Linked DNA regions of Macaca fascicularis. The protein of the gene in region 7 interacts with the protein of the main gene of each other region in a pairwise test. Links are inferred from orthologs where the notes say so. Each region holds a gene or a part of one and is shown on either strand. Other genes may lie near its edges.

Region 1 (4,285 bases), on a different chromosome or scaffold from region 7:
TTACCCCTAGCTGAAGAATACATGCATTTTGAGATAATGTCACCTCAAAACAGTTTTGGAAATAGGCCAGGTTCCAATCAATAAATAGATGAAATAAAATTGTACAGGGAAAATTGTCTTGAAAAGCTGTCAGACTCTATACAAATTATCATTGTTATACTTCACATTTTAAAAAATTATTATACTATTTCAAATACAGATTTTGAACTATTTTACACCCACAAAAGTTTCTAATATTGGTAGAAGCAAACTGATCAAGCCATCCTAACAGCTTTTCCAACTGGCTTGTTTTAGGTATAACCATGGAAAAAGGCTGTGCCTATACTGAATTCCGGGAAGAATGTTCAAGTCAGAGTCAGCAGAAGTCAGAGGTGGGGCGCTGACCCTCTGGCTATGCCCTCTCTAATCAGCCTTCCCCCACCCATTTAGAATTGAAATCTGAAAAATTCCCTTTCTGGCCCAGGTTCAATAGATTTTGGTCCTGTCTACAAGCTTTTTCATTTTATTGCCCTGAGAGCCTGTGCTTGGGCTTTTCTGGAGACTCAGCTCCCCCATCAATTGTCCAAAATGCATAAACCTTAGCTCCCAACTCTGCAGGTAAATAAGCCACCCACCTTCGCTCTTTCTTCCTGGGCCACGCCTGATGGAAAGAAGCCCACTGGGGCTGGGACACCTACCTCCCAGCACCTCGCAGTCGCTGTCCATGCTGTCATGCACACCTGCAAAGATGTTGGCCAGAGTGGACTTGCCCACCCCCTGCTCCCCTATGAGCACCACTCGGTAGTAGGTGTTCCCTGACTCAGAGGAGATGACTGAGTCTGTGGAGTCAGAGGACCAGCTTCGGCGGCAGTGGTCCTCAGGGGCAGCAGAATGGCGGTTTCGGTGGCTGTACTGGTGGGGCTCTTTCTGGACCATCAGATGCCTGCCATCGGCTGGGATGCTCCAGCGCTGCTGCTGCGGCTGCATGCCCACAGTGCCCTGGCGCATGGTGACATTCAGAGTCATCGTTGGGTCCTGGGGAGCAAAGCAGCCAAGATGGCAGCATTAGTAAGCATGAGTGAGAGCTCTGCTCAAATACATGGTCAGTCATCAGTAATATTATATTAGATGAGATGAGAAGCAAGTATCCCTAACATAAAAAACACCAATTAAACAGTCTCCAAAGCCCAACAAGACAGGCTTTCAACTGGACACACACACACATACACACACACTGCCCACACTGTCAGTAACCAGCTCCTCAGGCAGACTGTCATTTGCATGGAAAAAATAATACTGTTAACATCAACCACTGCCCATGGGCTTACCCCTTCCTCAAAGCAGACCTGGATCAAAGAAGAGCTGCACTCGGAGCTGGCACAAAGGCAGCTGGAAAGAACCAGCAGCCTCCAGAGATGACTTGAAAAGCAACAAGTTAATGTTGCTGGGGACCAACTGGTCAGGTTAGCTGCTCTTGTCTAAACTTGGCTCTTAATTGCACCAGTGTCCAGCAGGTTTTGTGCCTCAGTGGGAAACACGTGGCAATGACATCACCCCCACCCCTCCCCACCGCAACCCTGGCTGGACTGGACAGGCACTTATTGGAACTTCCATGTTTAGTAAAGTTGCTTTGATGCTCTCCAGCTGCCTGGAGAGCATCCACCTGCCATTATTGGGGGTAGAGGGGAAATTTTCTGCTTAAAGTTTATGCCTCAGCTGTGCCCTCTTATCCACAGATGCCACTTTTAAAGCATCTCAGCTCCAAACCTAGACACCCTGGCAGAGAAATGATCTGCTCATGTTCAGACCTAGCAAATTTGCACAGAAAGTGCCTCATTCTTAACAAACCACGTCCATTCTCAAGAGTTCTTTAATTCAACTCAGATTCCTTTCTTGAGACAGAGTCTTGCTCTGTCACCCAGGCTGGAGTGTAGTGGCAGGATCACAGCTCACTGTAGCCTCCAACTCCACTTCAGCCTCCCAAGGAGCTGGGACTACAGACCTGCACCACCACGCCCACTAGTTTTTTTATTTTTATTTTTTGGTAGAGACGGTGGTCTCACAATGTTGCCCAGGCTGGTCTCCAACTCCTGGGGTCAAGTGATCCTCCTGCCTCGGCTTCCCAAAGTGCTGAGACCACAGGCCTGAGCCACCATTCTCAGCCCCCCTTCTTGAAGCAAATCAGAAGGCTGAAGACTACCCTAAATGATATTCAACAACTTCGCTACAACTTTCCCTTTGCAGACTGCCTCCCCTAGCCGGAAGGTCTGTTTTTCTGGCTACTGGCGACGAAGTGTAAGTAGGCACATTGCAATCAGCAAGATGCACAAACAGTGCTTTCCCACCCTCACCCCCACACTCCATACCCCAACACCTCGCCACTAACCAGGACCACCAGCTGGTTTTTTAGTCTCAAAAGCAGCACCTCAGTTGGCAGACTTACATTCAAACAACAAATACATAAAGCATCATTAAGGGCTGCCCTCTCTGACCACTCGATCTGTAGGAGGAGGTGACTGTCCTACCGAATTGAACTAAGGAACCTGCTGATGAGAAGCGACATCCTTTGCACTTGAAGCTCTGACCCCCACCAGAAAATCCCAGCACAGAACGCACGTTTCAGGGGTTCTTTTCTCAACTTCGAAAGTTCTGCGGGCTGGGAAACTCCCACTCTCTCCCTTCTCCGTCCCGGGCCGCCCCCCTTACTTGGCTCGGCCGGATCGGCGTCGGGGCGTCAGCGTATCGCGTGGGTCTGCGCTGGGATACCCGGGCCAAGGAGCGGGTAGTGCTGCGCTGTGCCCGCCGTCCGTGCCCGCCGCCTACAGCCGCCGCGGCCGGGCGGTTTATAACTAGCCCAGCCGACCCGCCGCGGGGCTTTTCCGTGACGTCAGCGCCCCCGCCGGGAGGGGGCGGCTCTGCAGCAAACTCGGAGTTGCAGCCACTTGGCTAAATCGGTTACTCGCAGTCACATGACCCCTTCTCTCTCCATTTAAAAAATAATGACAGTTCAATCCTGGGCCTCCTTTATTTTGTTTTATTTTCTTTTTTACCAGGTGAACACAGGAAAATGGAAAAATACTCTAAGTGCCACTTAATCGTCCTTCCCAGCAAAACACTTGCAAGCTAGCGGGATAAAGGATGGAGGGAGAAGCAGGTTTGAGTTGAGAGCTCAGCTTTGCCAAGAAAACAGGGATCAACCTGGAATGCGCAGAGACTTTAGCCTCCAGGATGAGACTGCAGCCACCTTGAATGGCCAAGGCTTGTTTTAACCGCATCTTCTGCAAGGAAGACAGCCTCTGTCACCTTCTCTCTGGATAGGGGGAAGCAGATGGAGCCCCACAAAGCTTTGTTTCCCTTCTCTGGCAAGGACCCAGAGAGAAGGGGCCAGAAAGAGGTGAGGAAAGAGGACAAGACCTTGAAAAGGGCAGTTTGGGAAAACAATTTAATTGAGGATCCAAGCAGATTGTGCTAAATGTTGTTGGCCCTGCTGCTCTGGGCCAGAATGCTGAGGCTTCTCAATCAGGGAATTTAATCAGCATCTCAATCACCAGCATCTCTGTACCAGGCTCCCTGGCAAGGCTACACCTTGGGCATGAGCCAATACAGCCTGGCCATGGGGAGGAGCACTGAGCCCACGGCCCCTATGAGAGACTCCTGTGAACAAAGGGCACAGGATAATAACTACTACTACCATTTACTATGTACCTCTGAGGACCTCTGCTTAGTAGGTACTGTTAGGCCTCCTGGGACCTTAATCCTTACTACACTCCTGCAAGGTGACTCAATTGCTACCCTCATTGTATGGAGGAGGAAGATGACATAGGGCCAGACAACTTGCCCAAGGTCATACTGCTGGTATAAGTGGCAGGGTCAGGACTCAAAGCCTGGTTTGCCTGAGTCTCTGCACTGCACCACTAAGTGAAGGATTTCAATGACCTCTTTCCGGGGACATGGGTATTTCCCAGATGCTGTGTTTAGAGATGATGCTGGCCTCTCCAACATACTCGTCCGCTTTTTCAGCCAGCTTCATCTCTGGGTTGGCTGGTGGCTCCGGGAAGCAGCCAAAGGCACCAGCATCTATTGAAGCAGTGGACTCTGCTGTGATTAGAGTCGATTCACAGTTATCCTGCAGGCATTTATCTGCTTTGGAAATTAGCTACATGACCAGCTGCTGAGACCTGCTAGGTCCCAAGCTAGCAAAGGTGGAATACACAGAGTAATGAAAACTTAGAATTCCTTTAGTCTCAGGTTTGTGGCCCCAATCTCCTACTTATCTTATACATAAGAAACCTGAGACCTAGAGAGA
Region 2 (4,249 bases), on a different chromosome or scaffold from region 7:
CCATCTCACTTCATTCTCTCCTTCAGCCATGACAATAGTTTTTCCTTTGCGGTCTTCAGTTACCTTTCAGCATGTCCCCAAAAATCACTCTGTGTTTTTAAAATGAAAAATGTAAAAATAAAATCAGAGAAATCAAATCGTCATGAAAACACACATATGGGTAACATTTGGAACCACTGGTGTCTTCAGCCGATCTACAAGCTAGATCACCCTCTCACCCTCTCCTTGTACACTAAAGGGCAGTCTTCCTTCTGGAAAACAAAGTTGGAAAGTTGCAACCTTGCAGCTCTGGCTTTGGTGGACGGAGAATTTCGGGGAAGCGTTCTCCTCCGTCTCGCGGGGTCAGCGGATATCCTCACGTTGTGGAGCTGTCAAATCCGTGCTCTGCCCCAAAAGGCTGGTAACAGTTGAACGCCCTCCAGCCATTCGGGGCTTTTTTGTCTGTGCAGCCACCGGGTTCTCTCGAGCTTTCCCACCCCGCCCCTCCTCCGACACCAGTCCCCGCCCTCCGCAGCTCCTCCCAGCGCCTCAGCAGCCGGCCGGGCGCCGGCAGGGAAGGCTCGCCGAACCCTGGCCCACTGGCCGCAGCGGCCGGAGGCTTTGGCGCTGCTGGAGGGCGGCAGTCTCGGGCAGCCGCTGTCTCGGCGGGCGGCGACGAAAAAAAGCGTCCCCAGCCCCGCCAATTCCGGACCCCCGGGAAGACGCTACTTCTCCGATCCCTGCACCCTCGCCCACCACCGCCGAGCCAGAGGGCATAGGGCGGCCCTGGCAATCCTCGAGCGCAGGGCTGGGCCGCGGAGCTGGCGGGGCGGCGGGGCCCAAGGCGCAAAGCCCGCCCTTCGCCCAGCCCCATCGGTGGGGATCAGCCCAGAGGGCGGGAGCAGGGAGGGGAGACGGGGTCCTCACCCCCAGCCCCTCCCCTTTCTCCGCCCGGCACAAACCGGGAGCCACCCCGGCCCCAGCGCCTTCTTCCCCGCCCAGGCAGACGCGACCCGCCGAGGCAAAGCCATTGGAAAAAGCCCCGCCCTCTGGCAGGCTACCTCCGGACCCCCAGTGCGCCGCGCGCGGCTGCCAACCGCTGCCGGCTGCTACGCATGCGTGACTTAGAACAGGGCACAAGCGCCTCCGGAGGCTCTAAGCTTGCGCCCTGGGGCGGTTTCCGTTCCCGGATGTTTGGAGTGTGTCCTGGAGAAGGGGAAGGAAAAAGTAAGGCGTAGAAGTACACTGAGACTTCGTCACACACAAAACAAGCACGACAAAGAAAAAGGGCACGAAGGGACTCCTGGACGAAATTGAGTCTACATTTAAGATCACCGTAAAAGTAGTGACGGCCTCTTTATTACTCCAAACCCCAGATTTAAGTCGGTGGGACGTCTTCGCGTTGACTTGTGGGGAATGTAGTTTTGATGCTGCCGGCGCGTTTTGTTTGCGACAGAAACTACAATCCCCAGAGGCCACTGCGACGTCGCCTGTGGCTGCCCGCGAACCAACGGTTAGCGGTGGCAGGGGCTGACTGAGAGTGTCTGCTTGGTAAGCACTGTAGGCTGGGTTGTCACCTTTCCTTGACAGGGTTTTTCCTTCCTCCATTTCCTCTGGGATTTTGGAGACGAAGCCATCTAGCGTGGCCTCCCTTAGTCCAAGGATTTTTCCAGTGGCTTGCGTGGGAAGGACTAGTCCAGCTGCCCAAGCGCGGGGTGTGGTGGGTGAGGCGAGGATTTAGGGATCCTGATCCCGAGGGTCGCAGGGAGCGGCCTAAGAAGGAAGGATGCTGTGGAAACTGGAGCTTCGGGCTGCTGCTTCTGCTTCCACCCTTTTCTGTGGGCAGGCGCGGGATGGATTTGGGATCTCTGCGCATTTGCACCTTTGTTTGCCTTTGCTTAGGGATGTGCTGGGCTTTATTTGCTTTTAGAAAGTCATTATTTGAGAAAAGTCGAGGTTTGAACGGCCATCAGTGGACTGATAATCGGTGTAGATTTTAATTCTTTATGTTGCAGAATTGCATTACATTAAATTCTAAAACTTTCATCTTGCTAGGCACTGAATATACAACAATGAGAAAGACAGTCTTATCCAGTTAAGAGGAACCAGTTGTTAGACATACAGTTACAATACTATATGATATCACTGGGATGCCTAGAAGGAGATCACTTAGCCCAGTCTTGGAAAGCCAGGGAAATCTTCATCCCAGCGGAAATGAAGATCAAAAGAACAGCATATGCTAAGGCCCAGAGCGAGAGATAGGGTACTTTCAGGAAACGTCAGTAAGCCAAATCATACATACTTGGCGGTGTGGGGTGGGAAGGGAAGGGTGCTTTTTGTGTATTGATGTACTTTGAAGCTACAAAGAGACACATATTGTGAATTCTTTACATTGTTTCTGTAAGTGAGCTATTTTTGAATAGATGCATAGTTCTGATGAATTGGTCGAATTTCAAAAGCCTGTTACATTCTAACACTTCTAGTTTGAATCCGAATTTTGAAAAGGGAATAACTTATGAATGTGATTGAGAAAACAAAACAAAACCATTCCGTTTTTATCTCCTTTTTGGGATGATCATCCTCTATCCAGCCCATAAAGGGTAGGGTAGTTTCTTAAGGCTGGGTGCCTTTTTATGCTGTAGTTAAATATGATCTCACGTGTACCCATGGCTTCACCAACACTTATGACTCTCAAATGAATAGCTCCATTCAGCTTCACCTCTCAGCTTTCACATATCTATCTCTTGGATATTTCTTCTTGGATATCTCAAAAGCATCTCAAACTCAACATTCCTAAAATCAAATACATAGTTATCTGTTACAAATCTGATTCTTTTTCAGTGTTCCTTATTTCAGCAAAGGACACTACCATCCATCTACTTGTGAAAATTTGAAAGCCAAACATTATTCTTTATTTCTTCTTGCCCTTCATACTTTTATGGCTAAATTATTACCAAGTTCTGCCAATCTTATCTCCCAAAATATCCTTCAAATATATTTTTCTCTCCACCTGTCTTCAAACTGTGGTAATCTCTCAAGACCACTACAGTAGCAGTTATTCACAATGACCCTCCTCCATTAGTTCTCCATTATAGCTACCAGAATGATTTTTTTGAAACTGCAGATCTGATCAGATTTTCTCTTGGTTAAAACTATTCAGTGGTGTCCTGCTACTGTTAAAATAAAGGCAAAACTCCTTTATAAAGCCTGACATCATCTGGTACTCTTTCAGACTCACTTCATATACTGCTCTCCAGATCAACCATACAGACCATTTTTCACTCATTGGTTCTCATATTCCATTTCACCCACACATTTACTCAACAAATTTCTGTTGAGTCCCTTTTATATAACAGGACATTGAGGATACAGCACTGACCACAATATATAAAAATTCTTACTGTCATAGAGCTTACATTCTACTGAGAAGAGATAGTAAATAAATATGTAAAACATTTAGTAAATGAAATGAAGACAAATGCAGTGGAGAATAAAACAACTGGGAAGGGGAATGGGGAGTGTCAGGATGTGAGGGGCTAGGTTTACTTTTAAATAAAGTGGTTAGAAAAGACCTAATCCAGAAGGGGACAATTGAGGAGATATGAAGTAGGGGAGGGAATAAACCATATAGATGCCTGGGCAAATAGCATTCTAATGAAGAGAGTTAGTGCAAAGGCAGGAGCCTGAGTGCACATTTGAGAAATAGCAAGAAGGCTAGTGTGGCTGGAACACAATGAGTACAAAGAGAATAACATGAGGTCACAGAGAAAGGAAGTAATGGTGGGAGAACATGTACGTGACTGAAAGGACTAACATTTTTAATTGAGTTGGGAAAGCATTGGAGAGTTTTGTGCAGATGAGGGCATGATCTGACTTTTTTAAAATGACTACTTTTCTTTCTCTCTCTCTCTCTTTCTTTTTCTCTCTCTCTTCGATGGAGTTTTGCTCTTGTTGCCCAGGCTGGAGTGCAATGGCACAATCTTGGCTCACTGCAACCTCCACCTCCCAAGTTTAAGCAATTCTTCATCCTTGGCCTCCCAAGTAGCTGGGATTACAGGCATGCACCACCATACCTGGCTAATTTTGTATTTTTAGTAGAGACAGGGTTTCACCATGTTGGTCAGGCTGGTCTCGAATTCCTGACCTCAAGTGATCCACCCACCTCAGCCTTGCAAAGTGCTGGATTACAGACATGAGCCACCGTGCCTGGCCTCTTTCTTTTTGCCTGAGGCAGAGTCTCACTGTGTCACCCAGGCTGCAGTGAAGTCAT
Region 3 (3,998 bases), on a different chromosome or scaffold from region 7:
CGTGGGGCTACTGCTGCTCTTCAGCTGGGTGACCCTTGTCCAGTCAACCTCTCTCTCAGGTACAGCACTTACCCCTGTGGCCCACCTGCCTATCGTGCTATGGGCTATTCCTGGGAACTGGAACTGATGGGGATGAATGGAAGGGCGCCTGCTCTTCCGGTAGGGGCTGATCTCTTTTACTCTCCAGTAGGGGTGGAGTGGGCTGTGGAAAGATCCCTCCTGCTTATTTCTAGCCCCCCAACCTCTCTCTTCAGCTGTGGTCCACCACCCTCACTTGTGCCAGACCACCCGGGATGTCAATGGCCACCACTACCCTGGTTTCTTTTGCCCTCGTCTCTCTGATTCTCCAGAGGAAGCCTACTGCTGCCACCTGCAGGCTGCAGGGGGCTCCTGCTGCACCCGGGCTGAATTTGAGGCCCTGTACCAAGTCAACCTGTCCGCTCTTCCGCCCCCGCCCATCCTCAGGTGAGATCTCCAACCCCGGAGCCACTGGAACATCGTCAGGGTGTTCCAATATCTGGGGCTCTGTTCCTAAATTATGGGGTGGGAGGCTTGTAACTTACAGACTAGTGAAGGGACAGACCGCAACAGAAAATCATGTAGATCATGATTACAATTACAAGGGAGAAGTTCAGGGGGCTGTGCAAGCGGGTAATAGGGAGCCATACTGAATCTGCCCATGGGTGGCTCTAGGATGAGCTCCTAAATTCGTATGCAAATGTGTGTATGTAAGACTACACTTATTTGGGGATGGAGTCCCGAGCTTTCTCCGGACTCCCAGGGGTTCTGTACTCCCACAGAGCGCAGCAGCCAGAGCGCGGCCAGGGCCGGGATCCAGATACTTTTTTCTCTCCCGCAGGGGCCCAGGACAACTCCTAGTGCTGGGCCTCTACAGCCTACTGGTTGTGACCCTGATGACCGCAGACCTTGTGCACTTCTGCTGCGATCGGGGCCGGGGTCGGGGCTGGAGCCACCGCAGGCCTCCCTCCGGGTCCTCCGCCGTGAACTCCTGCAGGTCTCCGCGGGGACAGCTTAGGCGCGCCCGGAGCTTGCCTGCACCTGCGATCCAGAGTCGAGTGCCCCGCCCCTGCCCGGGCGCGCTAACTCTTTAGCCCTGCCCCTCTCTGACTCCACCTCCGACGCAAGAGTGGGGCGGGGCAGCTCCCGGCAGCGTCCGGAGCCAGACTCGTCCCGCCCCAGAGACTGCGCCTGCGCGGGCACGGGACAACCTCTCCGCGATGACTGTGAGTGGTCCAGGGACCCCCGAGCCCCGGCCGGCCACCTCCGGGGTGCGTACCCAATCCCCGCGCCATCACCCCTTCGCACCCGCCCTGACCATCCCAGGCCTCCTTCTCCCCATCCATGAGGCTCGTGCCTATCCCTCCTCTTCTCCAGGGCTCTGCCCCGAACCCCCTCCGACGTTTCCGCCCCCTTTCTCTCTACAGGCCAGCTCAGTGGAGCAGCTGCGGAAAGAGGGCAACGAGCTGTTCAAATGTGGAGACTACGAGGGCGCCCTGGGGGCCTACACTCAGGCCCTGGGTCTGGACGCGACGCCCCAGGACCAGGCCATTCTGCACCGGAACCGGGCCGCCTGCCACCTCAAGCTGGTGAGGGAGCCTGGCGCTCTTCCCCTTGCCTGCCGGGCCCCGGTTCGCCCATCTCAGCTGATGCTTGGGCCCCAGCTGGGAATTCAAGCTCCCAGGCCATCCCCGCTTGCCAGATGTCTTTTGCACCTCAGCGTGAAGGGGGATCGGGTGACCTTGGACAGCGAGAGTACCCCTGCTGCCTGGTTAGTGCCCCGAAAGGGAGATGACCATTCTTTCAGGCTGCTGTCTTTCTCTTACAGGAAGATTACGACAAAGCAGAAACAGAGGCATCCAAAGGTAGGGGAATGGTGGACCCTCGTGTGGAGCTGTAGGGCTTCTGTGGTGGGCAAGGACTCTGGGACCGCTGCACCATCACATTCTCCTCCTTTGGCCCCAGAGACACATCTGCCTTCTTTCTTTCCCACTGCCTCGGGCCTTTCCTTTTCTGCAGCTACCCTCACCTTTTCTGAGGCTGAAGCACCGAGCCCCACATTCGTCCCCCTACCTTCTGGCCTTTCCTCGAGATCTTTCCCTACTGCTCTTGCCTGGAGATGGTGGCCTCATGGGTGCTGACAGCGCTCCTGTTTGTGCTCAGCCATTGAAAAGGATGGTGGGGATGTCAAAGCACTCTACCGGCGGAGCCAAGCCCTAGAGAAGCTGGGCCGCCTCGACCAGGCTGTCCTTGACCTGCAGAGATGTGTGAGTTTGGAGCCCAAGAACAAAGTTTTCCAGGAGGCCTTGCGGAACATCGGGGGCCAGATTCAGGAGAAGGTATGTGAGTGACCCAGAGAGGTGGAAGCTTGACTGGTGGTGGTGAAGGGATCTGGGCCAGGGGTGCAGACACAGTTCTCCAGACAAGAGATACTGATGGCAAGTGAACATATAGAATTCTGGTTAACCTTGCCTGTGGCCAGGGAAAAGCAAATTAAGATGACAGCGTGTTACTGTTGATTTGGAGGTCTGTTTGGCAGACATTTAAAAGTTTGTATACTTTTCAAGAAGGAGAGAGGCAGACACATCAGTGGTGAGGCTGGTACAGCTCTTTTGGAGAGTACTTTAGCATATCAAATTTGAAATGAGCGTATCTTTTGATCCCATATGTTTACTTCTTGCTGTTTCTCTCACAGAAACCTTGCCCACATGCACAAGTAGACATGTGTATGTTTATTTCAGCCTTTTTTGTAGTAAAAGCTTGGAACTTGCCTCAATGCCCAGCCATAGAGGAATGGCTGAATAAATTGGGTAATGTCCTTACTAGAGACTCTTACATAGTTACTGAGAATGGGTAGATACACACATATTGAAATGGAAAGCTCTGGGACACTTGTTGAATAAACAAAGCAAAATAGGCAGGGCATGCTGTCTCATGCCTGTAATCCCAGTGCTTTGGGAGGCCAAGACGGGACGATCACTTGAGGCTAGGAGTTTGACACCAGCCTGGGCAGCATAGTGAGACCCTGTTGCTACCAAAACTTAAAAAGTTAGCTGGGTGTGTTGGCACACCCTTGTAGTCCCAGCTACTTGTGAGGCTGAGGCAGGAGAATCCTTTGAGCCCTGGATTTTGCAGTTACAGTGAGCTATGATTGTGTCACTGCACTCCAGCCTGGATGACAGAGTGAGGCCCTGTCTCTTTTGAAAAAGAAAAGAAGAAAAATATATGATAACACATATAGTATTATATCATTTATGTTAATGATCCCCTGCATAGCAAAATAATGCTATATTTTTTCTGTGGGTACACTTGGGTATATAAATACAAAGGAAAATATTTAATTTAATTTATTTATGTATTTATTTATTTATTTTTTGAAACAGAGTCTTGCTGTGTTGCCCAGGCTGGAGTGCAGTGGCGTGATCTCAGCTCACTGCAACCTCTGCCTCCCAGGTTCAAGCAATTCTCCTGCCTCAGCCCCCCAAGTAGCTGGGACTGGGACTACAGGGGCGTGCCACCACGCCCAGCTAAGTTTTTGTACTTTTAATAGAGACAAGGTTTCACTGTGTTGGCCAGGATGGTCTGGAGCCCCTGACCTCGTGATCTGCCCACCTCGGCCTCCCAAAGTGCTGGGATTACAGGTGTGAGCCACTGCACCCAGCTGAAAATATTTTATTTTTAAAATTTATTTTTATTTTTATTTTTTTGTTTATGTATTTTGAGACAGGGTCTCACTCTGTCACCCATGCTGGAGTACAACCTCTGCCTCCCAGGCTCAAGCGATCCTCCCACCTCAGCCTCCCAAGTAGCTGGGACAATGCGTGTCACCACGCTCGCCTAATTTTTATATTTTTGGTAGAGACAGGGTTTTACTGTGTTGCCCAGGTAGCTGGTCTTGAGCTCCTGGGCTCAAGGGATCTACCCACCTCAGCCTCCCAACTTGCTGGGATTATAGGTGTGAGCCATGGCACCGGGCCAAA
Region 4 (3,500 bases), on a different chromosome or scaffold from region 7:
TCCACCTGCTTAAAGCTAGGTCGGCCTTGTGACTTGCTTTGACCAATATGTGGCAGGATTGATGTATGAGTTCTGGAACCTAAGTGTCAGAAGACCTTGCCCTCTTAGAATGGTACCGAGACTACTATGTAAGGAAGGCAGTCTAACCCAATGAAGGATAAGTGAGGCATCCTAACTGATAGCCACCACCTACTACTAGACATGTGAGTGAAGCCCTTTTAAGTTTCTAGCCCAGTCAACTGTCTAGCTGGATACAACATAAGTGAGCCCACGTGAAATCAGTAGAGGAACTGTTCAGCCAACCTCCAAAATTGTGAAAAGTAATTGTTTTTTCAAGTCACTCAATTGTGGGTTGGGTTGTACACAGTAAGAGATAACTGCTAACAGTTACTAATTTTTGTGTCTACTAGGAAACTAAAGGGAGCACTGGCTGGCACTCTATTATGGACACACATCGACAAAGTGTGTTTCTCTTCCCTGATTTCACTGTAACAAGTGAAACTCACATTCCAATTATAGGAAACTCACCCAGCAGCAAGAACTCTGAAGATGGCCAGAATGGAACTCACAGTAGGTAATGAGTCTCAGAGCTATCCTACTAGAAACCTGTTCCACTAGCAGCATTAACTCTAGGCTCATCTTTTTACTCACGCTTCTCGATCTTCTCTGTCCCTCTTGATTCTTTTTAGCTCCCGAACTTTCCATGCCTCATATTCCTCCTCGTCATTTTCATCATCAGTATTGAGTGCATCCAGTGCAGCCAAGGATCGCTTGTTCTCTTCCAGCTCTTTCTTGGTTTCCTCTTCGACAATCTGGATAGGGAGAACAATTCGGCTTGGACTTCCTTACTCTCCTCAGACAAACCTGATTACACTATTTTCTTGTACTCAATCCTTGGAACCACTCCCCAGTACCTTTTTTTTTTTTTTTTTTTGAGACGGAGTCTCGCTGTGTCTCCCAGGCTGGAGTGCAGTGGCGTGATCTCGGCTCACTGCAAGCTCCGCCTCCCGGGTTCATGCCATTCTCCCGCCTCAGCCTCCCGAGTAGCTGAGACTACAGGCGCCCGCCACCACGCCCGACTAGTTTTTTTTTTTGTATTTTTAGTAGAGACGGGGTTTCACCGTGTTAGCCAGGATAGTCTCGATCTCCTGACCTCGTGATCCACCCGCCTCAGCCTCCCAAAGTGCTGGGATTACAGGCTTGAGCCACCGCGCCCGGCCAACTCCCCAGTACCTTGAGTGTGTACTTGCGCCTCTCCTCTGCCAGGCGTTTTGCTTCCTGCTCCAGCTCCTTCTGTTTCAATGCTTCAGCTTCACGTTCTTGAACTGTCACTCGGTCCTTCCTGCATCACAGAGGTCCTGTTAATTGCCTAAAGTCCTTAGAGTGGAGTGCTTTGTTCCCCTAGACCTAGTCCCATCCAAATGAGACGAAACCAAACTCTTTGGCTCTATTATTTTCAAAGAGCAAAAAACGTTGAGTCATCCCAGGTCTTTTTTTTTTTTTTTTTGAGATGGAGTCTCACTCTGTCTCCTGTGCAGTGGTGTGATCTCAGCTCACTGCAACCTCTGCCTCCTGGGTTCAAGCAATTCTTTGCCTCAGCCTCCCGAGTAGCTGGGATTACAGGCGCCTGCCACCACACCTGGTTAATTTCTTTGTATTTTTAGTAGAGATGGGGTTTCACCATCTTGGCCAGGCTGGTCTTGAACTCCTGACCTCGTGATCCACCTGCCTCAGCCTCCCAAAGTGCTGGAATTACAGGCATGAGCCACTGTGCCCAGCCATCATCCCAGGTCTTTGGAGCACTAAAATCATGTTCATCTTTGAGAACTGCCTGGACAGCAAAGAACCTGCTGGCCTGTAAGTAGGAGGATTTCTAGCCATCAAGAAAGGAATAGGAATCTGCTTGCTGAGTTTAATTTTGTGTTTAAAAATATATGGCCTTGGCTGGGCGCGGGGGCTCATGCCTGTAATCCCAGCACTTTGGGAGGCTGAGGAGGGCGGATCACCTGAGGTCGGGAGTTCGAGACCAGCCTGACCAACATGGTGAAACCCCCTCTATACTAAAAATACAAAATTAGCCAGACGTTGTGGTGCATGCCTGTAATCCCAGCTACTAGGGAGGCTGAGGCAGGTGAATCGCTTGAAATCGGGAGTTGGAGGTTGTGGTGAGCAGACATGACGCCATTGCACTCCAGCCTGGGCAACAAGAGCAACACTCCGTCTCAGAAAGAAAGAAAGAAAAAAAAAAGGCCTTGGACAGATATATGCTCTATAACTGAAAAAAAGAGATGTGAAAACAAACTCAGGTTCTCTGCTAACACCAAGATACTCCTCAGCAGCTCGTCTGGCAAGGCTACAGCACTAGCAAAAGCACTTTCACTCAGTGCTTAGATTTCAGAATAGCACAACAGAAAACAGACTTTTGTTTCCACGCCTGGAAAGTGGTAATTAAGTGGATTCAGATCTGGCTCGTGAGATACTTACTTTCGAATGAAGACTGGCTTAAGGCGAGGCTCCATCTCATCTTCACTGTCTGTGTACTCTTCATACTCAGACTCTGATTCTGACTCCTCTCCAGAACGTCCCTCATCTTCCACTTCCATGACTTCCATCTCTTCATTTTTTCTCTCCTGTGCTCGCTGACGCATCATGCCACGCCGCCGTTCTATTTCCTGTGAAGTCATATATGTAAGCCGGTCAGTCAAATGGCCTATGGCTTTTTGTTTTAGTCTCATCAAACCCAACAAATTCAAATGTAAAAAAATACAACTTAGTACCATTCTATTTTTAGTTCTATCCCAACAAACAAGGAACATGATCAGAGTCCTGCCAAAAGCAGTGATCTCATGTTTTTAAGGCTTCAACAAATGAGCACAGGCGTCAACTTTTTCTTATATCCAGAAAAAAACTTCCCATGTTCCTTTATCATACCTCATCATCAATCTCCTCTTCCTCTTCTTCACTGCTATCTTCTCGTTCCATGCGCCAAGCATCTCCTTCTACTTCTGAGTCACTCTCTCCTACCACTTCAGGTTCCACTATTTTCCGATGTCGAGCCAATCTGATAAACAGTATCTCCAAATGTAACACCAATGTCATAAAAATGAACTAGCATCAACCGCATTTCCACAGCCACACAGTACATTATGTTTGCCTTCATTAATACTGAAGTCTTTTTTTTTGAGGCAGGGTCTTGCTCTGTCACCCAGGCTGCAGTGCAGTGGTGCGATCTTGGCTCACTGCAACCTCTGCCTCCCAGGCTCAAGTGATCCTCCCACCTCAGCCTCCTGAGTAGCTGGGACTATAGGCATGCCAGCACACATGACTAATTTTTGTATTTTTTGTAGAGACGGGGTTTTACCATGTTGCCCAGGCTGGTCTTCAACTCCTGGACTTAGGCAATCTGCCCGCCTTAGCCTCTCAAAGTGCTGGGATTACAGATGTGAGCCACCATGTCCATCCAATATTAAAGTATTGAGGTGGGGGAAACTGAGGTGCAG
Region 5 (3,477 bases), about 65 Mb from region 7:
TTATTGTTTGAGGTTGGCTAGAAATCTGAGTGCAGACAGGCAAAGAAGTTGCCCCACATCACAAAGCAAGTAAAGTCAAAACAGATGACACTGCCAGGCGCGGTGGCTCAAGCCTGTAATCCCAGCACTTTGGGAGGCCGAGGCGGGCGGATCACAAGGTCAGGAGATCGAGACCACAGTGAAACCCCGTCTCTACTAAAAATACAAAAAATTAGCCGGGCGCGGTGGCGGGCGCCTGTAGTCCTAGCTACTCAGGAGGCTGAGGCAGGAGAATGGTGTGAACCCAGGAGGCGGAGCTTGCAGTGAGCCGAGATCGCGCCACTGCACTCCAGCCTGGGCAACAGCGTGAGACTCCGTCTCAAAAAAAAAAAAAAAACAGATGACACTATCACAGGCTATTCCCAAGGTATGTTTTTTTCCTGTAAAAATATATTATCTGGTCTTGACTAGAGGTGTGGGCCCTCAAGGTGAGGCAGATAAGAGCAGCAGCAACACATGGGTTCAGTTTACACATTTATTATACAAATCCCCTTCCAGTGTGGATAATGTCTTGGGCCCAGATCCACTGGTATAAAAAGAAAAGTTTAACACCAGGAAAAGGGGGTAGGGGAACCCCCAGCTCCGAAAGTCACAGACAGGTATCATAGAAAACACAATTTGTGTGGGTTTGCTTAAAAAGTGGTGGATGGGGGCTGGGTGCAGTGGTTCACGGCTGTAATCCCAGTGCTTTGGGAGGCCAATGTGGGCAGATCATGAGGTCAAGAGTTCAAGACCAACCTGGCCAATATGGTGAAACTTTGTCTCTACTAAGAATACAAAAATTAGCTGGGTGTGGTGGCGTGTGCCTGTAATCCCAGCTACTCAGGAGGATGAGGCAGGAGAACCCAGGAGGCGGAGGTTGCAGCGAGCTGAGATTGTGCCACTGCACTCCAGCCTGGCGACAGAGCAAGACTCCGTCTCGAGGAAAAGAAAAAAAAAGGGGGGGGGGTGGATGGAAGGAAAGCCAAGGAAGGTGTGAGTGGTGAGCGGCCCGTGGCCCGCAGCCTGTAGCCAGACCTCACCTGAGGATTTTACTGGCATCTACCGGTGCCAGGTCTGGTAGATGCCAGGTTCAACCCCCACAGGATCCCAGGACACGGCACACCTGATGGCTCTGCCCTTTGCCCCTCCTGTGGGGCCTCCTGACTGGGGGTGGTCAGGGCAGAGGCCATGGGCACAGACGGGGTTGGACTCCTTCAGGCATCCCACCCAGACTGCAGTCCTTCCAAGCGTGGGCAGAGAGCCCAATGCCCCAACAACTGCCCTGGCGATGCATGGCAGGGATTTCTGTTCACACCAGAGTCTCCTGGCTGCCCTAAATGGCCCTGAGACCCGATATGGTCCATTTTATGGAGGGGGTTACTGAATGGAACCCGGTTGGGCATGGGAACAGGAATGAACCCAACCAGATGAGATCAAGTTTCCCTTTTATAAAACGTCTAGTGTTGGAGGAAGACAGTGAATACCTAAGTCACAACTGTAAACATAAATGGATGAAGGGGCTTGGGGTCCCCATGACATTATCCTCTCTCTTTTAAGCTGGCTGAGGGCCCCCAGTCCCCAGCACAGTGTGAGAGAAGAAGCAGGGTGTCAGACACCTTCCTGGGCCTATGGGGAGCCAGGGGCCTTGGAAGATTAGGTTGGCGCACTGCACTCAGGACAGAGCAACCACACCCCAGGGCCCAGCGAGGTCAGCTATGTGCTCCCCAGATTGGAATCGTGCCCAAGCCAACAAGGGACATATCAGAAGGGGTCAGACCAGTGTCCCCGGGGTCTGGGTGTCAGAACTGGAGGACTGCTCCCCCTCTAGCGTCAGGTCACTTAAACGAGCGCTCAGCTCCGGGGGATACAGGAAGTCCGCGTAGTATCTTTAGAAGGGGTAGCAGGAATCCGGAGGACAGGGCGGGGAAGACAAGAAGAGGAAAAGACAGACAAGACACATAAAAAGAAAGGAAAAGAGGCTCGTTAAAGAGGTGGAGGCAGGCACAGGACAGCACTTTCAGGCTCCAGGGCATGGAGAAACAAGGAAGAAAACGGCAAGGGGCATGAGATGTCCCTTCCTCCCAGCACCCTGGCTTCAAGGCTCATCTTCAGCCTATAACTTGATAAAGAATTGCTGCTACCAGTGCCCAAGATCCCCTCCACCAGGACCCCATGGACTAATGCAGGTCATGTGCAGTAGTGACCCTGTGCCATCACGGCAGCTAGTTTCCTTATGGTCCAATGCATTAGCTATCATGACTAGCCACTCCCTGGCCTGGATATCTTCGCCATCTGCCTTAAGAGACCCCTACCCATCAGTAAAAGCACCCCCCATACCTGCCAGAGACAGGGGGCGCCGTGAAACTCCTCGAGTGTGGGAGTGGCGCTTGGCTGGGGGCCCCGTACAGCGCCTGGCCCACCTCATAGCAGCGGGCATGGAGGAAGGGTGGGTGTGGCGGGCCCACGGAAGGGAGCACAGGCCGGCGCTGGGGCCCCGCGGCCAGTCCCGAGTTCCGGATGTACCAGTCCCGCAGCCCCTCCAGAGCCAGGTTCTTGTGGCCACTTCGTTCACCAGCCGAGGGGATACGGCTGGGTGGGGGCATCCACAGCAGAGGGTTTGGATGCACCTCAGGACCCTCGGCAACCTCTGGGGGCAGGCCACAGGGCTTGGTGCGGGTGGCACGGGTGTGGGGGTCCTTGGTGCGGAGGAGGGGGCTGTTGCTGTCAGCTGCATACACAGGTGGTGGGCCGGGGAGCATGGTGAGGAGCCCATCCCGGCGGGAGAGGGGTCCTGGGACCTCAGCGGCAGGCAGCAGCTCCCCCCAGCCTACTCCACCACCACTGCGGGGCAGACCCCGGTCCAAGGAATAGTCCAAGAGGAAGTCCCCACACACAGGTGGGAGCCGGGGGGCACCTCGGGAGGCAGGGGCAGCTGAGCTAGGCCGGGCGGCCCGGGGAGGGTCTGGGGGGCCTGCTGTGCGGGAGGAGAAGGCAGAGGTTGGTTGGGGGCGCTCATACAGCACCTCACTGCTCTTGCAGACTGGGGGGCCAGAGGCAGAGGGAGCCAGAGGGGTGGGCGGGGAGCCAGCTCCCCCACCAGCAGCCCGGTCCACCAGCAGGGCCTCAGAGCTGTTGCTGCGGCGGGTGCGAGCTACGAAGAGGGAGGCGCGATCGGAGGCAGGGTCCGCCCGGGGGAAGCCCATCTGGGAGTCCTGGCTGCCGGACCACTGACGAGAATGAAGGCCTTCAGGTCTGAGGTGAGAGGCGAGGGTCATGGGAATAGGGTCAGAAAAATCAGGCAGAAGGCGTGCAGTGCCCTCCCTACCCCACCCCTTTCTGAGCCTTCACTTTCACATCTCCAAATGGGCCCAGGGTTGGAAGCTGTGTGTATAAAGGTGGCAGGTAGTGACATGTAAAGGGCGGCTGAGGTTCTGTCCTAGGCTAGGGGGTCGGGGG
Region 6 (4,216 bases), on a different chromosome or scaffold from region 7:
CCAAGAATCTTCTAGGGGGTTTACTAAAAAAGTGGCTGTCCTTTCCCAGACCTCAATTCAGGATTCAGCTTCAAATAAGTGGAAACTAGACATTCCTAAAGATTCTCACCACCACATAAAACTAAAACAAGCTCTTTACTGCTTAGGATTACAGGGCAATTTCCAGCAATTACAGTCATTCAGGGGTTCTAGGACCAGCCTGAACTGCACGAGACCCTTTACTACTTCTCACTCTCCGTCTCCCCACTGGCTTTTGACATTTTCCCTGCTCAAGTGCCAAGCAGTATTTGAAAGGCTGAGGGAAAGATCGAGACACTAACTTCTCATGGACAGCTCTAATTAAAAAAGAAAATGAAAAACTTGTAGAGTAAGAAATCCATTTGCCTTTAAAAACTAAAATTTATGATTAGCTGAGCCTCCTCCCATTACCAAAAGTTGGCATTCCCTCCACTCTACCCAGACGTTCCCTGTTTATAACACTGTTTCATCACGTCATATTGCCATCGTGACTTCTTCCTCCACTAGAGGACGACAGCTGTTTTGTAGTCAGCGCCCACCACCATCCCTATTACATAGTAGGTGCTTTAAATATGTTCGCTGGCTTTTATTTTTGCCCTGTCTCCCAATGGATAATTAATATTGTATTGGATCTGCTCTCAATCCTGGCATAGGTAAAACGTTATTTTCTAGAACTCAGTTACCGGGTTATAGATGATATTCTGTAGGTTGTTTAATGACAACATCATCCTTTTCCAGCTTCTTGTTGGAGTCTCTTCTGTGTATGACCTGAGATTTTAGGCCAGTTTCATTTAAAGGTTACCTGGATTGAAACTGAGGCACTGGCCCTGTGTAAAGTAAAAACAGAGGAAAAGAAAAGTAAGCATGCAGCATTTTTCTTCATATCCTATTTTAAAATTTAAATTATACATTATGTTACTGATATTTACCAAATAATAGAATGTTATTACAATCAAAGATCTGCCTCCCATTCTTACCAGTGTGCTCATATACTAAACAATTTTGGATTGTGAGTGTAGGAAATACTGACTTAGAAAATACATCAGTAGAAAATTTCTAACATGGAATTTATTATTAAAAATACTAAAATAGGCCAGGCATGGTGGCTCACGCCTGTAATCCCAGCACTTTGGGAGGCCAAGGCGGGTGGATCACCTGAGGTCAGGAGTTCGAGACCAGCCTGAACAATATGGTGAAATCCCATCTCTACTAAAAATACAAAAATTAGCCAGATGTGGTGGCATGCACCTGCAGTCCCAGCTACTCAGGAGGCTGAGACAGGAGAATTGCTTAAACCTGGGAGGTGGAGGTTGAAGTGAGTCAAGATCGTGCCACTGCACTCCAGCCTGGGCAACAGAACGAGGCTCCATCTCAAAAAAACAAACTAATTAATTAATGGCCATTACTAATCAAACAGTCCTGTACAATTATCAGAGGTATTCATTTCACTTTTCATTTCCATAAAAGGACAATAATTACAGTATTCACATCATTGGTTTGTTCTGAGGATTGAGTTAATAAAATAGTGAAAGAGTAAGTGCTATGTTAGCTATTATTATTGTGAATAAAAAGAATTGCTCTTCTTCCTCCAATTTAAACAAATCAAGGTGTGGAAATCCAATAATTTTAATACTATTAAGATACAATTTTCTCTGCTGCTTTAAAAAAAAAAAATCACAGGGCAGGGGAGTGTTGGAAAGCATTAGCCACATTTTTTAAGATAAAAGCACCCATGGACACTACATTTAATAACTCTAGGAAAAACTCGATGACTTTAAGCAGAACTAAAGGGGAAACGAAACTAGAGCTTCCTGTATTTTACTTCCAGCAATTGTCATTATACCGCACACCAACAATACACACCGATCAAATCTATTACTTTTTCTTTATTAAGAAAAAAACTGTACCCCTCTTGGTTTACCACCTAAATATAACCCCAGTCTATGTCATTAACTTAATTCGTTAGTCAAAACCTCAAAACTCTGGCTCCGTGACTCAATACAGGAAGCAAGAACAAGAGCAAAAAGAATGGATGCCGAGTTGCCATACACATGTGTGATAACCAGCGAGTGACCCAATTTAAATCATCGGCTTGCATTAAATCACGCAACCCCTGAAGTATCCCCAGGGACAGGTCCCGCCAGCATGACCACTTCGTATGCATCACAAGAAGCCATCACTTAAGTTTCACGTACGGTCAAAGGAAGTCACATGACTTGCCCTTTGTAATGTTTAATACTGCAGTCAAATGACTCGGCATCCTAAAGCGCGTGTTAGAGGCAGGGAAAGCAATGTCACTACAAATTCCGGGACGGAAGCTTCCCCAGATTCCTCCACTTGAAGGTGGCTCTAGGCCTCAGGTTAGGAGGGAACAGGGTAGAAAGCAGCACAGGTGCGGTGGATTTGCAGCGAGGAGACACCCCAGGACAAACAGCCTGACTCCAGCCAGGGATGTACAAGAAAGGCCGCGACTCCTGATAACCCCTTACGCCCCGGAGCAGCCTCGCCTGCAGAGGCAGCGTCCCCGCCACCCAGCCCCGGCTCTGCCGCGGTGAGGACCTGCGGGTTGGGGTGGAATGGACACTGTCCCACCCATCAAATTGTGATTTAGGAGCCGTGACATCCGAATGCCATCCTCCACTGGCGAGGCCCTCAGAGCAGCCACCCCCCTAGCGACTGTCCCAGTGGCCGGGGGTCGCGCTACTCACCCAAGGACTGGTGTTTCAGGCGCTCCACGGAGCAAGTTGTCCGTCAGCCGCTAGGTGCCGTCCGGTTCCCGGCTGGGGCGTCCGTGGGCGGCTACGGGAAGCGACAGGAGTCAGTCCTCCTTCACTTCCTGGCTCTCCCGCTGTGGTCTCCCCACCCTACCCGCGCCGCCCCGTCTGTGTATGGAGCGTCCCTGGCGGCTCTGCTGGATTTTGGACAGGGACCCGCCACTGATCGCCACCCAGCTCGGCCTCCTGCACAGCCTCTGGGGCCTTGGACCGCGACTGGCTTGCTGTGGGAGAGCACAGAAGATAAGGACAAAGAATGTGTCCTGGGTGGATCTGGCTGCCTTTGCCCCGAAGGCGGAGTGGGTGGAAGGTGGTAGGAAAATGGGAAGGAAAGAAGAGAAAGGCTTTCTCTTCCGCAGCAAGTGGGCCGACGTCCACTTGGCTGTTCCAGGCCTCCAGGTCTAGGAGGGCGCTCAGGGCTGGGACTTTCCGGGACCCGGGGTGATCACCGCACAGGCCCCGCCTGCCTGGACCCAGCGCTGGCCTTCCCGGGGCGCCCAGGTCCACGGGGTCAATGCCAGGGTTTTCTCAGCTTCCTCGTCTGCCTCGGAACGGAGTCCAGACAGTGCCAGAAGAGACCTGAAGGCACTGCTTTTTGAAGGTGCACACCTCTGGATGTAGGCGAAACTGGGGGAAGGGTTCAGTACCTTGGACTGTGCCCAGCTCAAAGCGCCCCATCCGTTAGCGATAACATGGACTCGTAGCCACTCCGCGTCACTCGCTAGTTACCCTGCGCGTGGGTGTTTTCTCCAAATTGGACACTTAGGGAACAGTTTAAGCAGTATGGAGCACAATTCTGTGCGTATTAGATGCTCCGTAAATACCCAACTTCTCAGGGCTCTACACTGATAGTTTGACCTATTGGCTGTAAACACACCAGCCAGAAATATAAATAAAGTTTGAAACAAAGTCATGTCAGCCACTTGGAATGGCTTGCTGCTTATTGTTTGTTTTGTGTTAGGGACCTCAAAGTTCTCATCTTCTCTACTTAACTTTTATCCACATTTGTTTGGAAAGATATATTTTAGTGTCACCAACATGGGCTTTCTCCTCCTTGGCTTTTGTTTTCATTATTTTTTATTTTAATCGAGGAATTCATTACAAGTCCCATAACTGGGAACTCATGTTCTGATTCACTGTTGCTTTTCTCTCCTCCTTACCCATTTTCCAAGTTAGATACACTTCTCAAGATCCAATTTGAATAAGTGAATTTACCCTTGACATACACTGCCTTGGATTTATAGTTATCTTCTGGTGTGTGTCGTGTGTTTTATCTGTCCAACTCGACTGTAGTTTGAGAATGAACTTGTCTTATACATTCCCCAGTGCATAGTGTAATGCTTTGCATAAAATAGATATCAATGTTAGGTTGAAGTGTTAGATTATTGATAAAGTCAGGAGCAACTGAATATCTTCACAATTCT
Region 7 (3,500 bases):
GGGTTCCATAAATGAATGAGAATGGCCCCAGTAACTGCCCAGCAAGGAAATATACAACTTGCTTGTTACCCATCAGTAAGGTCTTTGCAATGCTCTGGGGAGCTTACACTGTCTATGAAACACTATACTGAACAACCTAACATGTCTTACAAACACTTGCCTCGTGGCGCCCCGGCCAATCTTGAGCAGCTTACTGCTTCCTTACATTTCCTTATCTCTGGCCACAGGCCCCAACTACACCATGACTTACTGATGAAGTTAGCCTGGCCAGTGAATATGGTGTACTGAAGCTCATAGGAGCTGATGCTGAACTCATCATCCGAGATCCAGTGGACTGTAATGGTGTCATGGGAGGCAGTACAGAGTTCTTCTCGGATAGATGGTGGGTTTGGGGCTGTAAGGAAAGGTGGAAAAGAAAGTAAGGAAAGCATACTCTCTCTTCTGGAATTTTACAATTGTTACTCTTCCTGCCTAACCCAACATCTCTTGAAGAGAAGATTTTCTTAATAGAGAATCTTTAAATTGCATGAACCATGCAACCTGAAGCAAAATGCTAGGACCTCAAGCTCCTTAAAACCACTTTTCTACAACATAATATAAGCCTAAACTTTTCTACAACAAAAATATAAGCCTAAATTTTTGTGATGATTGCCCCAGCTGTCTAGTCTGCCTGCATAAACACTTATGTAGACGTTAAAGTGATTATATGGTTTTCTTAACATATGGTCTTCAACTTAATTTTTTTATTTCAAAATGAGTATATATATATATATTTAAATGGATTTTTGCTCTTGTTGCCCAGGCTGGAATGCAGTGGCACGATCTCGACTCACTGCAACCTCCGCCTCCTGGGTTCAAGTGATGATTACAGGTGCCCACCACCATGCCTGGCTAATTTTTGTATTTTTAGTAGAGGCAGGGTTTCGCCATGTTGGCCAGGCTGGTCTCGAACTCCTGACTTCAGGTGATCCACCCACCTCGGCCTCCCAAAGTGCTGGGATTACAGGCGTGAGCCACCGTGCCCGGCCCCATTACATATTTTTAGCTGTATAGTCAAGTGCAAAATGATGAGTTCCCTCATCTACAAAATAGGGGTGATAATTAACTTATAGATTTGTTGTAAGGATTAAAGATATAAAATTAATATACAGTGTCTAGAATAAAGTAGATGTTCAATAAGGGGCAGGTATTTAATGTAGTAACAAAACAGCTGCAAAAATAGTTTGTGTATTTTTTTTCATGAAATGATCATTAAACAATCCTGAAAGTAGCCAGCATTTTCAACAGGCTGGTTGTGTCCCTCATTTTCTAAAATTGTCTGAGAGCCAGATATTTCTTACATTTTTCTTCCTGATCTACTAACTCCTAATTTTCCTTAAAACCATTTTGGTAGTACTTGTACCCACATAAGGCATTCTCTGACATTCCCTAATTGTCACCTGAGTTCTACTCTCATAACAAGCAACAATACATTACTGTTAGATTCATAAGGACAAATCTATCAGCAAATTTCTTGTGTTTTACTCTTAAGTATAGATGGTATACCCATTTTGATCCTAGAAATAGTTAACAAATCATAAATCATCTTTTTTTCTGTTACATGAACTAAAATATATTCTGTCTGAAAAGATACATGCATCATTTTAAAGATTATAAAATATGTAAATTATAAATATTGTCTTTTTCAAATTATTTTTAAGTAAAAGCATACCAGAAGAAAAAAAATTAAATGGGAAGGAAAGCACAGTATTTTCACACCTGTTAAATAATCTAACCCCTCTAGCAGTTTCTTTTCTCTGGAAAAATCTAAAGCAAAGTTTTCAAAGGCATCATTAAAATTGATGTCTGGAATCAGAACTTGAGAAGATGCAGTTGCCATAGCGACCCTGAAAAAGAGAAAAGTACATCAATATACATCAAAATAGGTTGCAACCTTCACCCAGTTTTTGATTTCTGATTTAACAAGGTGAAAATAAATGACTTGTAAGCCTTGATTTATTTAGTGAAAATATCATATCTGTGCCTTTCCAATGGGAACCATTTAAATTTTAATCATCAGGAACCAATTAAGAGTTATACCATATTTATTCACATATGTTCACCCCTCAAACACACTCCCCCATCCAGTCTTAATTCTGAGAAGTAAATACAGAATTTTTTCCCCTCTGCATCATTTTCCATCTGGCAGGCAGCATCAAAACTAGACCTTTAAAGACTTGGTAAAAACAGTTGGAGATTTTTCTTTTTTGTTTATGCTAGTCAGCAAGTCAGCATGCTAGGTTAACACCTTCCCTAAATATATCATTTATGTGATTTTTTTTTTTTTGAGATGGAGTCTTGCTGTGTCACCCAGGTTGCAGTGCAGTGGCACCATCTCAGCTTACTGCAATCTCTGCCTCTCCGACCCCCTTCCAGATTCAAGCGATTCTCATATCTCAGCCTCCCTAGCTGGCGCCCACCACCACGTCCAGCTAATTTTTGTATTTTTAGTAGAGACGGGATTTTGCCATGTTGGCCAGGCTGGTCTCAAACTCCTGACCTCAAGTGATCCACCCATTTTGGCCTCCCAAAGTGCTGGAATTACAGGCATGAGCCACTGCACCTGACCTATGTGATCTTTTATAGCATTTATATTTCACTTTATTATCCTCCGATTGTATAGTGCTATGATAGTGTTATCTTCCCAACTAATTCTAAGAGTCTCAAGAGCAGGGTTCATATTTTGTACCTCTTAATATCTTCCATGGCCCTAACACAGCATTTGACACATAGTGAAAAAATAATTGTTGAATGAACAATTGAATGACTAACAACAAAATAACTGCTAACATTTATCGAGTGCTTAGTATATACAATGCTCTCTACATTCACTTTACACACATTATCTAATTTACTCTTTACCATAACCCTATGTAGTAGATGTTATTTCAATTTTGCAAATGAGAAAGTTGACACATTGAAATGCTAAGTAATTTGTCCAAGATCACACAACCAGTAAGAGTCAGAAATGTAATTGAGCCCATGTCCATCTGATACTAAATTCCATACCCTTCACCATTTAGAGTGTTCTTCAAAAAATTGAGGTATATTTTACATACTTCAGCACTTCTTAGCCATCACTACACATCAGGATTATCTGGAGGAGCTTTTGCCAAAATATACATGTTTTAGTCCTGTGCAAGATCTTCTAAATCAGAGCCAATGAAGATCCTTGAACATGTAAATGATGGTGAGGAAAGAAAAATTCATTTGGCAACAATATGTAGGTTAGAGGAGAGAGAAAAGGCATTGAATGTAGGAAGACCAGAGAGGAAACTTTTACGGTGAGCTAGTTGTAAGGGAATGAGAAACTGAAAAATACATATCCTCATGTACATATACCCTGCTGTACATCTACCAACAACATCTCTTATTGTTTCTGAAAATAGAGATGTTTCAGGGATAAGCTACAGGCAAAATGAAAGACTAGCTCAGTACAATCATAAGGTCTCACGTGAATA

Evidence for each region.
Region 1: the proteins of MID2 (region 7) and GEM interact in binary tests that used the Homo sapiens proteins (3 or more experiments, as listed by UniProt). The link is inferred for Macaca fascicularis from reciprocal best matches to the Homo sapiens genes MID2 and GEM.
Region 2: the proteins of MID2 (region 7) and CEP57L1 interact in binary tests that used the Homo sapiens proteins (3 or more experiments, as listed by UniProt). The two-hybrid records come from large-scale screens. The link is inferred for Macaca fascicularis from reciprocal best matches to the Homo sapiens genes MID2 and CEP57L1.
Region 3: the proteins of MID2 (region 7) and UNC45A interact in binary tests that used the Homo sapiens proteins (3 or more experiments, as listed by UniProt). The two-hybrid records come from large-scale screens. The link is inferred for Macaca fascicularis from reciprocal best matches to the Homo sapiens genes MID2 and UNC45A.
Region 4: the proteins of MID2 (region 7) and MFAP1 interact in binary tests that used the Homo sapiens proteins (3 or more experiments, as listed by UniProt). The two-hybrid records come from large-scale screens. The link is inferred for Macaca fascicularis from reciprocal best matches to the Homo sapiens genes MID2 and MFAP1.
Region 5: the proteins of MID2 (region 7) and CCDC120 interact in binary tests that used the Homo sapiens proteins (3 or more experiments, as listed by UniProt). The link is inferred for Macaca fascicularis from reciprocal best matches to the Homo sapiens genes MID2 and CCDC120.
Region 6: the proteins of MID2 (region 7) and LGALS8 interact in binary tests that used the Homo sapiens proteins (3 or more experiments, as listed by UniProt). The two-hybrid records come from large-scale screens. The link is inferred for Macaca fascicularis from reciprocal best matches to the Homo sapiens genes MID2 and LGALS8.

What each region holds. Positions count from the first base shown.
Region 1 is NC_088382.1:103,912,500-103,916,784, forward strand, and holds the start of GEM (GTP-binding protein GEM), read right to left. Parts: upstream 2,801-4,285; 5' UTR 2,505-2,800; intron 1,473-2,504; exon of another isoform or gene 1,308-1,472; intron 1,015-1,307; 5' UTR 1,006-1,014; coding exon 678-1,005; intron 1-677. UniProt on the Homo sapiens protein: Could be a regulatory protein, possibly participating in receptor-mediated signal transduction at the plasma membrane. Has guanine nucleotide-binding activity but undetectable intrinsic GTPase activity.
Region 2 is NC_088378.1:13,195,345-13,199,593, forward strand, and holds the start of CEP57L1 (centrosomal protein CEP57L1), read left to right. Parts: upstream 1-1,449; 5' UTR 1,450-1,530; intron 1,531-4,249. Other genes in the region: SESN1 (sestrin-1), read right to left, coding at 1-30. UniProt on the Homo sapiens protein: Centrosomal protein which may be required for microtubule attachment to centrosomes.
Region 3 is NC_088381.1:75,486,933-75,490,930, forward strand, and holds the start of UNC45A (protein unc-45 homolog A), read left to right. Parts: upstream 1-1,198; 5' UTR 1,199-1,238; coding exon 1,239-1,289; intron 1,290-1,445; coding exon 1,446-1,607; intron 1,608-1,846; coding exon 1,847-1,883; intron 1,884-2,181; coding exon 2,182-2,357; intron 2,358-3,998.
Region 4 is NC_088381.1:20,398,085-20,401,584, forward strand, and holds part of MFAP1 (microfibrillar-associated protein 1), read right to left. Parts: intron 3,062-3,500; coding exon 2,932-3,061; intron 2,673-2,931; coding exon 2,485-2,672; intron 1,343-2,484; coding exon 1,234-1,342; intron 813-1,233; coding exon 652-812; intron 1-651. UniProt on the Homo sapiens protein: Involved in pre-mRNA splicing as a component of the spliceosome.
Region 5 is NC_088395.1:49,227,565-49,231,041, reverse strand, and holds the end of CCDC120 (coiled-coil domain-containing protein 120), read right to left. Parts: intron 3,274-3,477; coding exon 2,359-3,273; intron 1,908-2,358; coding exon 1,793-1,907; 3' UTR 501-1,792; downstream 1-500. UniProt on the Homo sapiens protein: Centriolar protein required for centriole subdistal appendage assembly and microtubule anchoring in interphase cells. Together with CCDC68, cooperate with subdistal appendage components ODF2, NIN and CEP170 for hierarchical subdistal appendage assembly.
Region 6 is NC_088375.1:12,615,941-12,620,156, forward strand, and holds the start of LGALS8 (galectin-8), read right to left. Parts: upstream 2,801-4,216; 5' UTR 2,727-2,800; intron 846-2,726; 5' UTR 747-845; coding exon 702-746; intron 1-701.
Region 7 is NC_088395.1:114,479,273-114,482,772, reverse strand, and holds part of MID2 (probable E3 ubiquitin-protein ligase MID2), read right to left. Parts: intron 1,887-3,500; coding exon 1,759-1,886; intron 395-1,758; coding exon 161-394; intron 1-160. UniProt on the Homo sapiens protein: E3 ubiquitin ligase that plays a role in microtubule stabilization. Mediates the 'Lys-48'-linked polyubiquitination of LRRK2 to drive its localization to microtubules and its proteasomal degradation in neurons.